Canis lupus familiaris: one gene and its partner. The protein of the gene in region 2 interacts with the protein of the main gene of each other region in a pairwise test. Links are inferred from orthologs where the notes say so. Each region holds a gene or a part of one and is shown on either strand. Other genes may lie near its edges.

Region 1 (7,419 bases), on a different chromosome or scaffold from region 2:
GTTATAGCAGTGTAAGTCAACTGCATTCAAACAGGGAAGAAATGGATAGTAAGGAAATGGAAGTCTTATGATTTTGTCAGTGAAACAACAGAAACAGTATTATAGCCCGGAAGGGCTCAATAGGAAGAAGTGAACAGTTTGTTGTTGTTTTCAAGTTAGGAAGATCTACATGTTTGAGGAAGAGGATTCAGAATTTTTTCCTTTAATGGTGGACACAGTCTTGTGATCCTAAAATAGAACAATTATGCCATAGATTATGGCAAATATACCTATTGTGAAAGTAGACGTCTAGAAAAAAGTGCTTTTCTATATAAAAATCTAAAATGGACAGTAAGTGAAAAACAAGATTCCTGATTACACATTTCCTTATTTCTGGGAAAACAGATGACAGATACATGAAGTGGTTTCCGTCTTGGAGACTCATTCTTTTGGAGTTACCTTAGAAAGAAGCAGTTGCTTCTGTCACCACCACAAAAAAAAAAAAAAAAAAAAAAAAGAACACGGATATTTTTATATGTATCTGCTGTTCGTTATGTCTTTTAGGAAGTAATCGTTCAGCCTTTAATAACAGCTAGGGCTTCTGAGACTGCTTCAGTAAATCACTTAAGTGCGAACATGGGCTCGTCTCGTTGCCTGCTGGGCCTGCATTTTCCCAGCCCTAATGTCAAAGACACAGCGACAAAAAAAAAAAAAATAACATGGACTGTTTTCTTACTCTTGAAATACTGTCTCTCCCTCTGTGCTAGCACCTATTTTAACTTAATTCAAGCTTAGGCTGTATCATGAAAGATGCTTAGGAAGTTACATGGGATCGTGGGCTCCTGAACAGATTCCGCATCATATTCTCGTTTGTCATTAGAATTCCCCAGGCTGGGGCAGCCCGGGTGGCTCGGCGGTTCAGCGCTGCCTTCGGCCCAGGGCGTGACCCTGGAGACCGGGGATCGGATCCCGCGTCGGGCTCCCTGCCTGGAGCCTGCTTCTCCCTCTGCCTGTGTCTCTGCTTCTCTCTCTGTCCCTCATGAGTAAACAAAATCTTTAAAAAAAAAAAAAAAGAAAGAAAGAATCCCCCAGGCTGGCTGTTAGGGCTTAAGAGTTAATCTATCTCACTCACCACTTTATACTTCTATGTGTCCTCCACCTGGCACTTCGTGTCCCCCGTCACCAGACTTTTGCACATAGGAGGCCTAGAGTGTTGCTCCGGTAATCCAGGCAGTCACAAAGTCCCTGCAGCTGCAAACTGTTAAAAGAGCTTCAGGTGGGGGCGTGAAGACCCGGACGGTTGTCAAGTAACCGAACTGCGAGCTTCTTGCGGCCCGGGACAGTCTTGACCAGCCCCTGCCTCAGTCCTGGTGCACAGAAGACCCCCGATCATGCTGAATCAACAGCCGACTCGGTGGGGACTATAACTTCAACCCTATTCTGCAGCCGGGTGCTACAGCATGACAGCGAACTGCTGGTTCTGATCTCACGGAGGGTGTAATCCGACGCTACAATTTTCCAATTTTCTCTTACAACAAAAAAAGGGGGACGCCCGGGTGGCTCAGCGGCTGAGCGCCGGCTTCGGCCCAGGGCGAGATCCCGGAGTCCCGAGATCGAGTCCCGCGTCGGGCTCCCTCTGCCTCGCTCTCTGGGTCTGTCATGAACAAGTAAATAAATCTTTAGAAAAAAAAGGGGGGGGGGATAATTGGGGTTATCTCTGCTTGCGGTTTCCAGGGGCTTCACCTGCACGCCGACCACAGCCACTCGGCTCTGGAGGCTGCGGCGCGACCTCCCGGCGGCGCCGCGGCCCCAGCTTCCGGCGCGCCCCGCGACTGCGCCGCCGCGACCCAGGAGGGGTCGCTGTTCCCGCGAGAGCCTCTGGAAAGGCTCCACCCCGCGGCGGGCGCCGGCTTCCTCCGCCCGAGGCCCCGCCCCCCATGGCGGATTACCGGCGCGTCAGTGTCCCGCACGCCCCCCGCGGCTGGCGCCGACGCTAACGCTCAGCTCCCAGCGCCTCGGGCTCGGCCGCCGCCCCCCAAACCCCCCCGCCCCCCCCGGGGCGCGCGGCCCGCCCCGAGGCCCTCGCTCGCTCGCTCTCCTCGCCCCACCCTCTCGCTTCCCCTTCGCGGAAACGACAGCTGCGGCGGCGGGCCTGGCGCCGCCTCCCTCCACCTACCACGTCTGCCCCCGCCACTCCCTCCCGGCGCACCAGCCCGGCTGCCGCCCAGCATGAACATCATGGACTTCAACGTGAAGAAGCTGGCGGCCGACGCGGGCACCTTCCTCAGCCGCGCAGTGCAGGTACCGCGGCGGGCGGGGGCCGGGGGCTGGGAGGAGGGGCGGCGGCGCTCTCCGCACCGGTTCCCCCGGGCGGGCGGGCGGGCCTGCGGCCGGAGGCCTGGGTGCTGGGTGCTGGGCGCGGCCTGCTTCCCCTCCGGGGCCCCGCGGCCGTCTTCCAGGCCCCCTGGCGCTCCACCGCCGCTTCTCCGGAAGCGAGGCCGGGTGGGGCCGGGGCCCGGAGCTCCCCCCGCGGCGCTCCCGCCCCGCGGCGCCGGCGCCGGTGCGAGGGCCCTTGGAGCCGCGCGCAGCGGCCGAGGGACGGACTTCCTCGCACCGCCCCCACCTTCCCTCAGGTCGGCCTCGCTCTCGCCGCCGCGTCCCAGAAGTCTCCTTTTCCGTCAGCCGCCCGTCTCCCTGACAGGACGGTCACCGGTGGGCGTCCCGCTCCGCCGAGGCCCCGGGAGGCCCGGCCTTCGGGGGTTCCCGCTCACGCTGAGAGTGGGAAGCAGCGGCGGCTGCCGGACGCGGAGAGGAGCCGGGGGTGGGGGTGGGGGGTGGGGGTGTGGGGGGGGCGCCGTTGTCGCCAGTTCTGCGTTTCAGATGTAGCTCTCTGGCGGCGTTGCGCAGTCAGGGAGGCGTCCGCCCTGGGGACCCGGGGACGGTTTTCCCCCGTCGTCGCCCACATTATGCCGACTCCGTTAAATCTGTGAACAGACGTAGAATTTCACCACAACACGAGTTACAAGCCAGCCGGCGTTTTAAGGCAATGGCATAGTCCCGGCAGAACAACATTCTCCTCTGTGAAGAGAAAACAAAAACTAGTTTTCTGACAGGCCTACCAAAACAGATAACCGCGGTGTAAGTCACGCGTCCGGCGTTTACTACTCTGTCTCCTTTGCCCCCAGTTTTGTTGTTAGAGTTGCTCTTACAGTGCACTGTTCCTGGCGAAATAAATGAAGAAGAAGGAAGAAAAAGGGGGGGGGGGGCGGAATGGAAGAACTAGAGCGAAGTAATAGCTGCTTATGTTGTGGGGAAAAAACTGTCACACAGTTGCAAGGCATTTGACAGATTATCCTATCTAATTTTGCCAGATGTTGTGAGCTCCTATTATATATGAGGAGGCCGCCTCAGAGAGGTTAAGAAACTCGCTTAACTTGCACGGCTAGTAAGCTTGCTGTCTGGTGTGCTGCTGGTTGCAGGCTGCTCCTCTCTTCCAGGGTAGGCTTTGCAGATAGAGAGTAGTAAGAATACAACAGGCTGGAGAGACCTTAAATATCGCCTGGTACTCGAATCTCAGCATTTCAGTCACATTGAAGCAAGTAGCGGTTAAGGCATGCGAAATTCCTTCTTGGTCTTGATTTCTAAATTCTGACATCTGCATAGTAAGTGATAGGCTAGCTCCCCTTTCTCCATGAAAATATAAGCTATGTTGTGAAGACATTGAGTGGAACGGTTAAAATAATTTCTTGATTTAAATTAACCTACTTTGAATAGCTCAGAGACGGAGGGCAAGAGAACGAGTGGTTGAAGGTCTGAAATGAATTTGATATATGAGACTTAATGTAACCTGAAAAGAGGCCCTTGGTGTTGTTTATTTCTGATTCCCAATGATTTTGTTTGCTGAGTGGAGATTTGACATTATGATGACACTGTTTTAAAGACAGGTCTGTTTTCAGGTACATAATCCACCGTTTAAATAGGACACGTGTACTAGAATTTGATTTAAATTGTTGGTAGCCTTTATTTAAAAAATCTAGCAAAGCTCTCAAAAGATGTAGTTCCTAGATGAATTTCAGTTACTCATAGTTTCACATTCTTTAGTTTTTAAAGTCTATGCTAATCTGTTAGCTATCAAATAATTTTCACTATTAAATACTTCTATGCCTATACCGTGTCTGCCTGACACTACTATTTTGGACACTGGTGATAATACCAGTATATAAAATTAGCAAGACATCTGCACTCCTGGAGCTTACAATCAAACAGTAAATACATCAGATGATAGAGAAAAAAGGTCACAGGTGATAAGTTAATGGCGGGGGGGCGGGGGGCGGGTGGTGGTGGCAATTTTTGCCATCTTATTTAGACATAAGATTACGACAAGCCTTTCTAGTAGGATCAAATTCCAAGAGACCTCAAGGAAGTGATAGTTCAGTTTTTTGGAGGAAAAGCACTTTAGGCAGAAGGAAAAAGTCCAAATACTTTGAGGTTCTGGCGTACTAGGGACATCAGTTAGGGAGCTGTAGCCATAGCATAGGCAAAAGGTGATAGAACGTAGGTGAGAGAGATGATATCATAGAAGGTTCAGAATCTTTTCAGTATGGTTCCCAAATTGGCTGTAGGTTAGGAAGGAAAGATGAGTTAAGGATGACTGTAAGGTTTTGGCTTGAGCCATATACTGAGAAGGGATAGATTTCAGGAGGAACAGACTCCTTCAATATGTCTTTTTTACATTAAGTCTGTATCTGTTAGAAATAGTTTCTGAAATATTTATGTATAAACTATAGCATGTCTGAGGATTTCTTTAAATATTCCAGAAGAGAAAAAAGGGGACTAGTTGAAACATTGGCAGAATGTTGACAGTTTTGAAGTTGAGTTTCAATATACTATTACACTTTTGAATGTTTGACATTTTGCACAGTACTGGGGGCTTTTTTATTACGTAAGAAAAAAATTAATTCCAAAATGTAACACGTGAAATTTGGAATGTTGTGTGGTAATTTTCAACAAAAACACTATTTTGTCATTTTAGTATTTAGTCAATAATTGAATTCCCAGTCTAAATTGCATTGACATCCGTATAGTGTCAAGTGCCAAGTTTCATGCTAAGAATAGGGTAAGAGCTATGCCAGTTACTCATTATAAGCAATAAGAACAGAAGGAATGGAATTCAGCTTTCTCATTTCTAAATAATAATTTCTATTCAAATTAAATTATACCTTAAGGAATAGATCATTCTCTGGGTGACCGACTGCCATATCTTTTTTCATTCTACTTAAAAATTTTTAGGTTAGAAACTAAGCATTTTCTGTTTTAAAAAAGAAAAACTATTACACAAATGAGTTTCATCACTCTACTCTCATAACATCTGTTTATATGCCATGCAACTTTGAAAAAATGTTGAGGTAAAAATTATAATCAGTAAGAACATACATTCCTTAACACTCTGTTTGGATGTTTTTGTTATTCTTAACTCCCTCAAAATGATAGAATACAAAAGCATCAGGTAATTTGTCCTCCATAAGTTACTTTATTAGTGTCTTAAAAGCCATTTATTCTTACTATCTGTATTTTTGGTCCAGACGCCTGTGTTGAGCATTATATACTCCTTTCCTGCCTTGTCTTTTCTCTCATATATACTGTATTCCTATCAAATTATTTTTTTAATTTCCAAAATACATTGTACTTTTCTAACGCTAGACTTGACTGGTCTTACAGTCTCATCTTGAATGCCCTCCGACCCCTCCCTCTGTCTTTCCTTCCTTCCAGATAAAACTCCAAGCCCATCTCAGACCACAAGAGCTTGATGTGAATTCCTGTGTTATTTTTCAATTCCGTATGATCATGTGGCACTTTTCTTGGAATGAACTGTTATGTAAAGTCACTTAGAGCTGTAAAATTGTTACTATATGGCTTTCACATCTTTATATTAAGATTGTATGTCCTGAGGAATCAACTTTGTTTCTTCTTTCCCTCTCATGGTATCCAACATTGTTCTTTTAAAATTTTTTATATGATTTTAACCAGGCAGGGTATCTATATGAAAGATACTCTTTGAATCGTGTAGCATGTTAAATAATTTTGTTATTTTTATTAGTATTTTCTAACATTATGTCTGCTGAACTTGAAGTTGACTAATGCCAGTCTAAAAGATTAAACTATTCTCGGGCACCTGGATGGCTCAGTCGGTTAAGCGTCTGCCTTCCACTCGGGGTCCTGGGGATCAAGCCCCAAGTCTGGCTCTCTGCTCAGCGTGGAGCCTGTTTCTCCCGCTCCCTCTGCCTCCCTATCCCTCCCACTCCCCCTGCTTGTGCTTTCTGTCAAACAAATAAAATCTTTAAAAATAAATATTAAACTGTTTAATTCAACCTATATTTATTGAGTACCTCTTGGGTGCTTGGCACTGAAGTGCAAAGATGAATGAGACCTAGTTGTTGCCCTCAAAGACTTAGTAGTCCAGTCCCGGTTTGTCATAATTATTTCTTTTTCTTTGTAATAAATATCCATTTTGTGAAGTACTGTTCTGTTACTTCATTTGATAAATGTTTCAAGTGGACACATTTTTACTTGATATTGAAGCAAATCTGCTCAATGTCTTTAAAATAAGACCATATGCTTTCCAAAATAAAATATTTTCAACTGCAATTACTTAGTTTCTTTTTAATTTTCTAACATTTCCTCTGAACTAACTCCTGAAGTTATACAATGAACTTCATGAGTACGAGCTATTTTCTGAGGGAGAAAAGTCTTTAAAGTTTAGTTGCAAGCTTGGCTTTCATCCTCGATTTAATTTAGGGGAACAATGGTGTGTCTAAGCTGGAGAGGTAAAATGAATATGATGCTGCCCTCCTGTTAGATCCTATCTGGATGGAATTCCTACTTGGCCAAACATTTGCCCAAGCCCTTTTGAAACCCTGTTTCCTTTATGGAATTTAAACTGCAGCAACTTCACCATTCTCTCAAATTCTAATAAATAAAACATGTCACATTTAAAGTCCGTACGTTTACTCATTATGTAAAAACTTTGCATATTTAGTGTTACCCTAAACTTCACATACTTGGGTGTTTTTGGTGTTAAATCTAGTAGACTACTAGATAGAAGATGGTTTGTTAACCTGACGTTAAAATAATCACCTGTGAGCTTAGAATGGTAGTTCTCAGTCTTAGTTGCACTTAAAATTACCAGAGGAATCTTTACAGGCTGCACCCCAGTCTAGTTAAGTAGAATCCTTGGGCTTCAATTTAGCATCATTGTTTTTGAAAGCTCCCCCAGGTAATTCCAAAGAGCAGCCAAAATTGAGAATAAGTTGAGAAGGATCTACTTTACAGTCTACTAATACATTATAATCAGAATTCATGTCATATGTTTTCTCCTAGCAAGTTCAGATAACTTTTAAAATATTACTTCACCCAGTCAAAGAATTGATGAGAGTTCATACT
Region 2 (7,659 bases):
GCGGGCTGCGGGCGGCGGGCGGCGGGCGGCGCGCGGCGGAGGGGCCGGGGTCTGCGCGCACCTTGGGGGACGGGGAGAGGCGGGGGGGGTGCGGGCGCCCGCGGCGGCCGAGCCCGCTGAGCCTCCCCGTCTCTGCAGAACTCCCAGAGCTTCACGTTTGACGACGCCCAGCAGGAGGACCGGAAGGTGGGTGCGGACCGAGGGCAGGGGGCGGGGGCGCGTGGCCCCGGGGTAGGGGGCCTGCTGGAGCCGCTCTTCTTCCCGCCCACAGAGGCTGGCGGAGCTGCTGGTCTCGGTCCTGGAGCAGGGCTTGCCACCCCCCCGCCGCGTCACCTGGCTGCAGAGCATCCGCATCCTGTCCAGGGACCGAAGCTGCCTGGACCCTTTCACCAGCCGCCAGAGCCTGCAGGCCCTTGCCTGCTATGCCGGCATCGCCTTGGAGGGGTCTGGCCCGGAGCCTCTGGACATGGACGTTGTCCTCGAGTCCCTGAAGTGCCTGTGCAACCTCGTGCTGAGCAGCCCGGTGGCACAGGTGCTGGCAGCAGAGGCCCGCCTGGTGGTGAGGCTCGCAGAGCGCGTGGGGCTGTATCGCAAGAGTAGCTTTCCACACGACATCCAGTTCTTTGATCTGCGCCTCCTCTTCTTGCTCACGGCACTTCGCACTGACGTTAGGCAGCAGCTGTTTCAGGAATTGCGGGGAGTGCACCTGCTGACTGATGCGCTGGAGCTGACCCTGGGAATGAGCCCTGACGAGAACCCCCCGGAGCTTCTTCCTCCCCAGGAGACCGAGCGGGCCATGGAGATCCTCAAAGTGCTCTTCAATATCACCTTCGACTCCATCAAGAGGGAGGTAGACGAGGTGAGGACTGACTTGAGCCCACAGGTAGGGCTTAACGGTGTGGACACTTGCTGGCTCTGTTTGCCTATAGCGAACTCGTAGGTTCCAGGTATCAGACGGGGAGAGGACGGGAAGAGCTCTCAGCCTATTGGGAGGAGGCAGGGAGCTGTACATCATGTACAGGGGCCTTCAGAGACTGTCTGAGAAAGGCAGAGGGCATACCTGGCACTTGCAGCCTGGTAGGAGGGCTGTTTGGTACATGGAGAGGTCACGAGCAGGACACTAGAGTAGGTTGTGATTTTTATCCCAGGAAGACCTGGTAATGGTCTTGGTTAAGGAAATGCTTTCAAGGCTACGTGGGGGAGGACGAGGGGTTGGGCACACAGTAGAGAAAATGCATAGTCCGTGCATGTGATCCCAGAGTGGGGCCTCCTCTCACAGGAACCCCTTTCTTTTTGGTCAGGAAGATGCGGCCCTTTATCGGCACCTGGGGACCATTCTGCGGCACTGTGTGATGGTCGCTGCTGCTGGAGACCGCACAGAGGAGTTCCACGGGTGAGGGTGGGGCCCGTTCAATGGAAGGGAAGTGTGCTCAGGGGTCTAGACAGTAGTTCTCACCCTGGCTGTCGGCTAGGCTTCCCCCTGGAGAGGCTTCACCTACAGGGGTGGGATTTCCATCAGTGTGTGTCTATGGTAAGGGGCTAGGACAAGAGAAACGAATCCAAGAACGGTATCTGTGTCTGCAGTGGAGTTAGTAGTAACCAACCACGTGGTAGTTAGCGAGTAACTGCTGAGTTCTGTTTCGGCGACTTGTGCCTGGGCAGGTTCTGGCGCTCCAGAGATTGTCCGCGGGGCTTCAACCCAGACGGAGCGTGCCCCCTTTCTTAGGAACTCACCCCACCGACTATGTGGGAACATCTCTAGGGTCAGTCTCACCCTCAGTACCGGCCCCTGGTTCTGGTCATCAAATCCCTAGATGCTAGTTCAAGTCACATGCGGCCTCTTTAGGGGGCAGCAAGGCTTGTACTTATGCTGGGGGGTCGGACCTATCAAGCCCTCCTCCTGATCTGTCCTCAGCCACACAGTGAATCTCCTGGGGAACTTGCCCCTCAAGTGTCTGGACGTCCTCCTTACCCTGGAGCCACACAAAGGCTCCCTGGAGTTCCTGGGAGCGAACATGGATGTGATTCACGTCCTTCTCAGCTTCCTGGAGAAGCGTCTGCACCAGGTGGGCAGAGGGACCTGACCTGTGGGGTCCTCAGTGGCTCTGACTTTCCCAAGCAGCCTTGATCACTGCTTTTTTTACGGTCACACTGGTAAGCAGAGTGTGATTCAGGCCATTTCTCCAGCTGCTTCGTGGTCCAGTTTGGCAGAAAACCAGATTCTACCTCCCTCAGAAACACGTGGCCCCTCTCACACGCACACACTTGAAGGTTTTACCTGTGCTGGTTATCTTGACGGGTTTTCAGAGTCAACAGCGGAGTTTGTGTCTTAGAGCTGTTTGTGGCTGTCTCTAGAATCCTTGCCTGTGCCGTCAGAGCACTAGCATTGCTGTGTGCAGGCAGCCCTCGGGACGAGTGACACTTGTCTCTTGGCATCCCTTGGGGAACCCACCACCACCTCGAGCCAGAGGCTGCCTGGTTCCCATGCCTGCACACAGGACGTTGGCCAGCTAGACCTCCAACCAGCCCCTCTGGGATACTGCAAAGCAAGATGGAGTGAGATTAGTTGTCACGTTGCTCACGTGCGCTATGAGCTGGGTCCCTTGCATTGCACATCATGGTTGTGACTGCTTCTGCCACAACCCGGGGTGGGGGGGGGTGGTCCAGGGAGGTCACTGGGCGGGGGGGAAGCCGGGGAAGGACAGGAGCTCTTTGCTCACTGGGTCCATGAAGCCCACAGGGTAGGGATTTTGTTTTTGCGTTTTGGTCACTATTTTTTGAGGACGGGTCACGTGCCACTGGTGTGCTAACGGCTACGAATGTTTTGTGTTTTCCCTACGACTTTGGTGTGTGGGTGAGGAGGTTAGAGCAGATGAGTGGCCCCAAGTCCCAGAGCACACGAGAGCCCTAAGTGCAGTTCCATCCGCGGCCCCTTGAGGCTCCCAGACGCCCAACGCCCACTCTTGGCCCCTCAGCTGACTAACTGTGGCAAGGCGTCTTCCCGAGCGCCTCCTGCCAGGACCATCCAGTGTGCGCGTGTAGCCCCCTGACCTCAGGTCAGGTGGGGGCGGTGACAGAGGCTCCTCTGCAGACGCACCGGCTGAAAGAGAGTGTGGCCCCCGTGCTGAGCGTGCTGACGGAGTGTGCTCGCATGCACCGCCCGGCCAGGAAGTTCCTGAAGGCCCAGGTATGGGGGCTAGGGGCCAGGACGGAACTCTGGTCAGACCCCAGCCGCTCCAGGCCCAGGCTGAGGGACGGCTGCCTCCCAGGTGCTGCCCCCACTGCGGGACGTGAGGACTCGGCCTGAGGTCGGGGAGCTGTTGCGGAACAAGCTTGTTCGCCTCATGACGCACCTGGACACTGACGTGAAGCGAGTGGCCGCGGAGTTTCTGTTTGTCCTGTGCTCTGAGAGTGGTGAGTGCTGGGATCTGCCCCCACACCTGCCCCTCGCCACCTTCACACACTGACCTCTGCCCTGCCCCTCAGTGCCCCGATTCATCAAGTACACTGGCTACGGAAATGCTGCCGGCCTCCTGGCTGCCAGGGGCCTCATGGCAGGCGGCCGGCCTGAGGGCCAGTATTCGGAGGACGAGGACACGGACACAGATGAGTACAAGGAAGCCAAGGCCAGGTGTGTGCTCCTCCACCCTTGGCTGCCCTCACTTGGCCTGGTCCCAGTTCCCACACCCACAGGGTCCCGCAGGGTGAGTGGGACGGGATGACAGATGTGTCAGACTTTGGGGAGTCAGGCCTTGGTTCTTGGTATCAGGTTATTCCATTGAGAACATGGGCTGCAGGAGCCAGGCAGTTAGGGGACCAGCAGATCCAGGTGGCAGGAGCTGGTTCACTGCTGCTCCTGGAGGGAGGCCCCTGCAGCCACCTTGCTTCTTGCCATTCCTAGGAGAATGGGTTTCTTGGCAGTCCAGGCCCAAGCAGGATGTGTAGGACCCCACCCAGCCGGGGCAGCTGCCTCTTGTTCTAGAGAGGCACTCATGCATTCCCTATGCCCCCTCCCCTGGGAAGCAGCATAAACCCGGTGACCGGGAGGGTGGAGGAAAAGCCGCCCAACCCCATGGAGGGCATGACGGAGGAGCAGAAGGAGCACGAGGCCATGAAGCTGGTGAACATGTTTGACAAGCTCTCCAGGTACGTGGTGTGGTGAGGAGGGGCCCCTGGCGGGGAGAAGGGAGAACAGAATCCCAGGCCCGGGTCCAGCCTAGTGAGCTGCAGGGGGTGGGGTCAGTGACGGGCTTATGCAGGGCTGCCTCACTCAGGTTGGAGACAAAGGAAACGCCTCAGGAAAGGATTAGATTTGAGGTTGGTATTACGTTTATCTCATAGATGAGATGAAAATTGAGACCTAGAGAAATTAAGAGACTGTGTAAGGCCCCAAAGCCACCAGGTAGTAGTTGGGACTCAGGCGTGTCTGACACAAGTTCCCACCCTGGCTTCCCTAGTAAACGGGAGCAGCTTGGAGCACATGCACGGAGCCAGGGGTAAGCGGGACTGCCTCACCTGCCGGGCCTCTCCCCCAGCCTCACCATGTTCTTCCCTCGCAGGCACAGAGTCATCCAGCCCATGGGGATGAGTCCCCGGGGTCAGCTGACGTCTCTGCAGGATGCTATCTGTGAGACCATGGAAGGGCAGCTCTCCTCGGAACCTGACTCAGACCCCGACTGAGGACAGCCAGGCTCTGGTTCCCCCTTCAGAACTGGTGCTGCTTCCAGAGATGTCCTTGGGACTGTGACCCGGGGAAACCATGTCCCTCTCCAGCTCAGAGATCCCTCTCTCTCTTTACCTCCAAAGTTCTGTTAATGATTTGTTTCTGGTCCGGTTTCTTATCTTTAGGACTGTGAGGGTCTGGTCCTGCTGCGACTCTGGGAACTCAGCCTTGATTTCTACTGATGAAGTGGCCTCGGGTGTATGCCAAGAGGATGGGGGCAGAGGCTGAGTGTGGGCACACCCAAGCATGTCCCAGTCTGGCATGCCTGCCTAGAGCTTCCACAGCAAGCAAGTGCTGCAGTTCACAGGAAAAGAGCTTGCCAGAACTGTACACACTAAGGACAGAAACATACATCCAAGGTATGCGCTGCTACTTCTGTCCCCACTGAGCTCAGGACTGGTAGCCTCTTCCGCATCCTAGGTCCTCGCTCAGCCGTCTGCTCTAGTATCCACAGCACCCAAGCGCTCACCGCTTGTGACAGTGGAGTCCTGACCTTCCCACTGGCGTAGACCATAAATACATGAGGAAAATGTACCTTGTAAAACCCTAAGTCTGGATTTCTATCACGTTCCACAAAGCATCCTAGAAACACCATCTTGGAATAAAGAGTTTCAAGCAGGAGCCTATGTATGAGGAATTAATTTCATTCCTTTCAGAATTCAGCCCTTTTTCTACAACATTAGTCACATCTGTTTTTGAGGAGTCTGTTAAGTGTGCCACGGGCAGGGAAATGATGCCCAGCATGAGGGACCACACACAGGGTAAGAGCCAGCGATCAGGAAGGTGTGCCTGAGTGGTGCTGTCCAAGCTGGGCCTTGCGGCAGCCCCAGCACAAGAAACCTCAACAGGAGCAAGAAGTGCGGGGTGAGCCAGGGGCCAGCTGAGGTTTTCTCAGAAACGCCTTCCACCACATAGAGGTTAATCCTGGGGGCGTTACTGGGAAGGCCTGCTGGGGAAGCTGAGGGGGAGGCATCCAGGTAGAGTGAACAAGGTACGACGCCCTTCAATGAGGAGTGCTGGGGCTCTGTGGGAAACGGCACTAGGCCCCACTCCAGGGTGAATCCAGGGGCATGTTCTCCATCCTTGAGTTATTCCAGTGGGGAGGAATGTCCACACACGCCCAAGGTCCCCTTTCTACATCCATTGTCAACACTCACATTCCCTTTGAGGAGACCACAGTGTTTATTTCATGCCAAAAATGAACAATGTTTCCCTAATTAAAGATAACCCCACAAAAGAGGCCAACAGGCTATAGGACCCTATTGTATTACTTCGGACCCAGGACCACGCCTTGGGAACAGCTGTGGCCACTCAGCCCAAGACCAGGTCTAAGGGACAGAGGCTGAGTCTGCCCTTCGGATGGAGACCTGGACACTGAGCAGATTCAGTCTGGGCTTCCTGCTGGTCTGAGTTCAAGAGGGTCACTGTCAGAAGAAAGCTTTTGTTTGGCATCAAGAGCTTCAGATTGAAGAGTCAAACAGCAGAAAGATGCCGGCAGCTTGGCACCCATGATTGGGGTGGCCCACAGCGTGAGCAGAACACGACTTGGGCAGCCTCACACTCTTCCTCAGGCCACCGGTCCTGGTTCAGCCAAAATTGTTTACTCAGAGGTGGGCAGTGACTCCTTGGAACCGTTTCTGTTCCCAGGAGGGGTGGGGGACCAGCCATGATCCTATCCGTCCCGTCCATCGAGCTGGAACATGGAGGAGAAAGGGAATCAGTCCTGTAGATCTCAGGGCCTGGGTTCCAACTATTTAATCAAATAAAAGCTTTTCTGCCTCTGCCAATGCTGCCATTGAGCCCAAGTAACACGATGCCAGCAGGGCTGGGCGGCAAAACACAGGGCTTCATTTAAGTAACCAGGTGAGATGTGCTGAAGCTCACAAGCTCAAAAATAGGCATTATTTGTGGAATTAACCCCAAGGTGGACTGCAGTTCATCCCTCGGTATTTCCTATTGGATAGCAACTCTTCGTATGCGTAAACCAAAACCAGAACCCACTTTACATAAAATTATAAAGATTTTAATTACATCTTCACATAAGATTATAAAATCGCACAGACCAAAGTCTGTAGGACTTCTTCCAAAAGTCCTTGGGGGCCACTTGGCTTAGTCTTGTACGGAAATAGGACGTCAGAGCCAGGAAGCTGCTAGGTGGATCTGACCAAAGCACCCGCTGCCTGTCTTCCTGATGTGCAAAGTATAGGCTCCGGAGCTACCTGCATTCTCTACTTCCCTAAAATGATCCAGCAATATGACTTTGACATTTATAATAAGATAAGGGGTGATACCAGCCTACATCTTAGCCATTAGAGCCAAACTCTGGAATGGAGAGATAGAAAAAATAGCAGCCACAATGTCTAAAATGTGTGGAAGTCTCCTGGCCTTAATAAGCCTTATATTCTTTCTTTGGTTCAACTTGGTAAGAAAGCAGACTGCAGCCAGAGGCTGGGGGCTTCTGCCCGGAAGGGTGAGGGGAAGGCCTGACCCCGGACCCGAGACCCCTGCCCCCCTGGGCGGTGTCACATGAGGATCCTCAGTGATGACTGGACTTCGAAAGCTTAATGCTGCCTCCTTTAGAAAATCAGCACTCACGCCAGGGCCACGCATGCTAACCGATTCTCCTGGGAAACTTCACTTGGAACAGGTTTGGAACCTCAGGAGCACCGAGCGTCTTTGGCTTTGCACCCACAGCGGATCGATACGGGCCAGCAGCTCTCGTGATCATCACAGGAGTGCATTCCCAGGGTGGGCTTCACCCCACACCAGCACACACAAGTTCAGCTCCTCAAAGCTCATCTCCGAGCCACACTCAGCCTGGAGCTAGCTGCTGGCGGTGCTTTACTTAGAGGACCCAGCCGGTCTGCCCGCACCCAACCGCAGCTCCGTCGCTGGGGAACAGGCAGCCAGCGTCGCTCTCATAAGCACACGGACAG

The links. The genes of interacting proteins can lie anywhere in the genome.
Region 1: the proteins of RIC8A (region 2) and SH3GLB1 interact in binary tests that used the Homo sapiens proteins (3 or more experiments, as listed by UniProt). The link is inferred for Canis lupus familiaris from reciprocal best matches to the Homo sapiens genes RIC8A and SH3GLB1.

Annotation. Positions count from the first base shown.
Region 1 is NC_049227.1:62,001,908-62,009,326, reverse strand, and holds the start of SH3GLB1 (endophilin-B1), read left to right. Parts: upstream 1-1,911; 5' UTR 1,912-2,208; coding exon 2,209-2,280; intron 2,281-2,850; exon of another isoform or gene 2,851-3,117; intron 3,118-7,419. UniProt on the Homo sapiens protein: May be required for normal outer mitochondrial membrane dynamics. Required for coatomer-mediated retrograde transport in certain cells. May recruit other proteins to membranes with high curvature. May promote membrane fusion.
Region 2 is NC_049239.1:25,715,482-25,723,140, forward strand, and holds the end of RIC8A (synembryn-A), read left to right. Parts: intron 1-138; coding exon 139-186; intron 187-271; coding exon 272-859; intron 860-1,301; coding exon 1,302-1,393; intron 1,394-1,915; coding exon 1,916-2,066; intron 2,067-3,091; coding exon 3,092-3,187; intron 3,188-3,269; coding exon 3,270-3,414; intron 3,415-3,486; coding exon 3,487-3,631; intron 3,632-4,026; coding exon 4,027-4,146; intron 4,147-4,559; coding exon 4,560-4,680; 3' UTR 4,681-5,349; downstream 5,350-7,659. Other genes in the region: SIRT3 (NAD-dependent protein deacetylase sirtuin-3, mitochondrial), read right to left, coding at 6,396-6,416.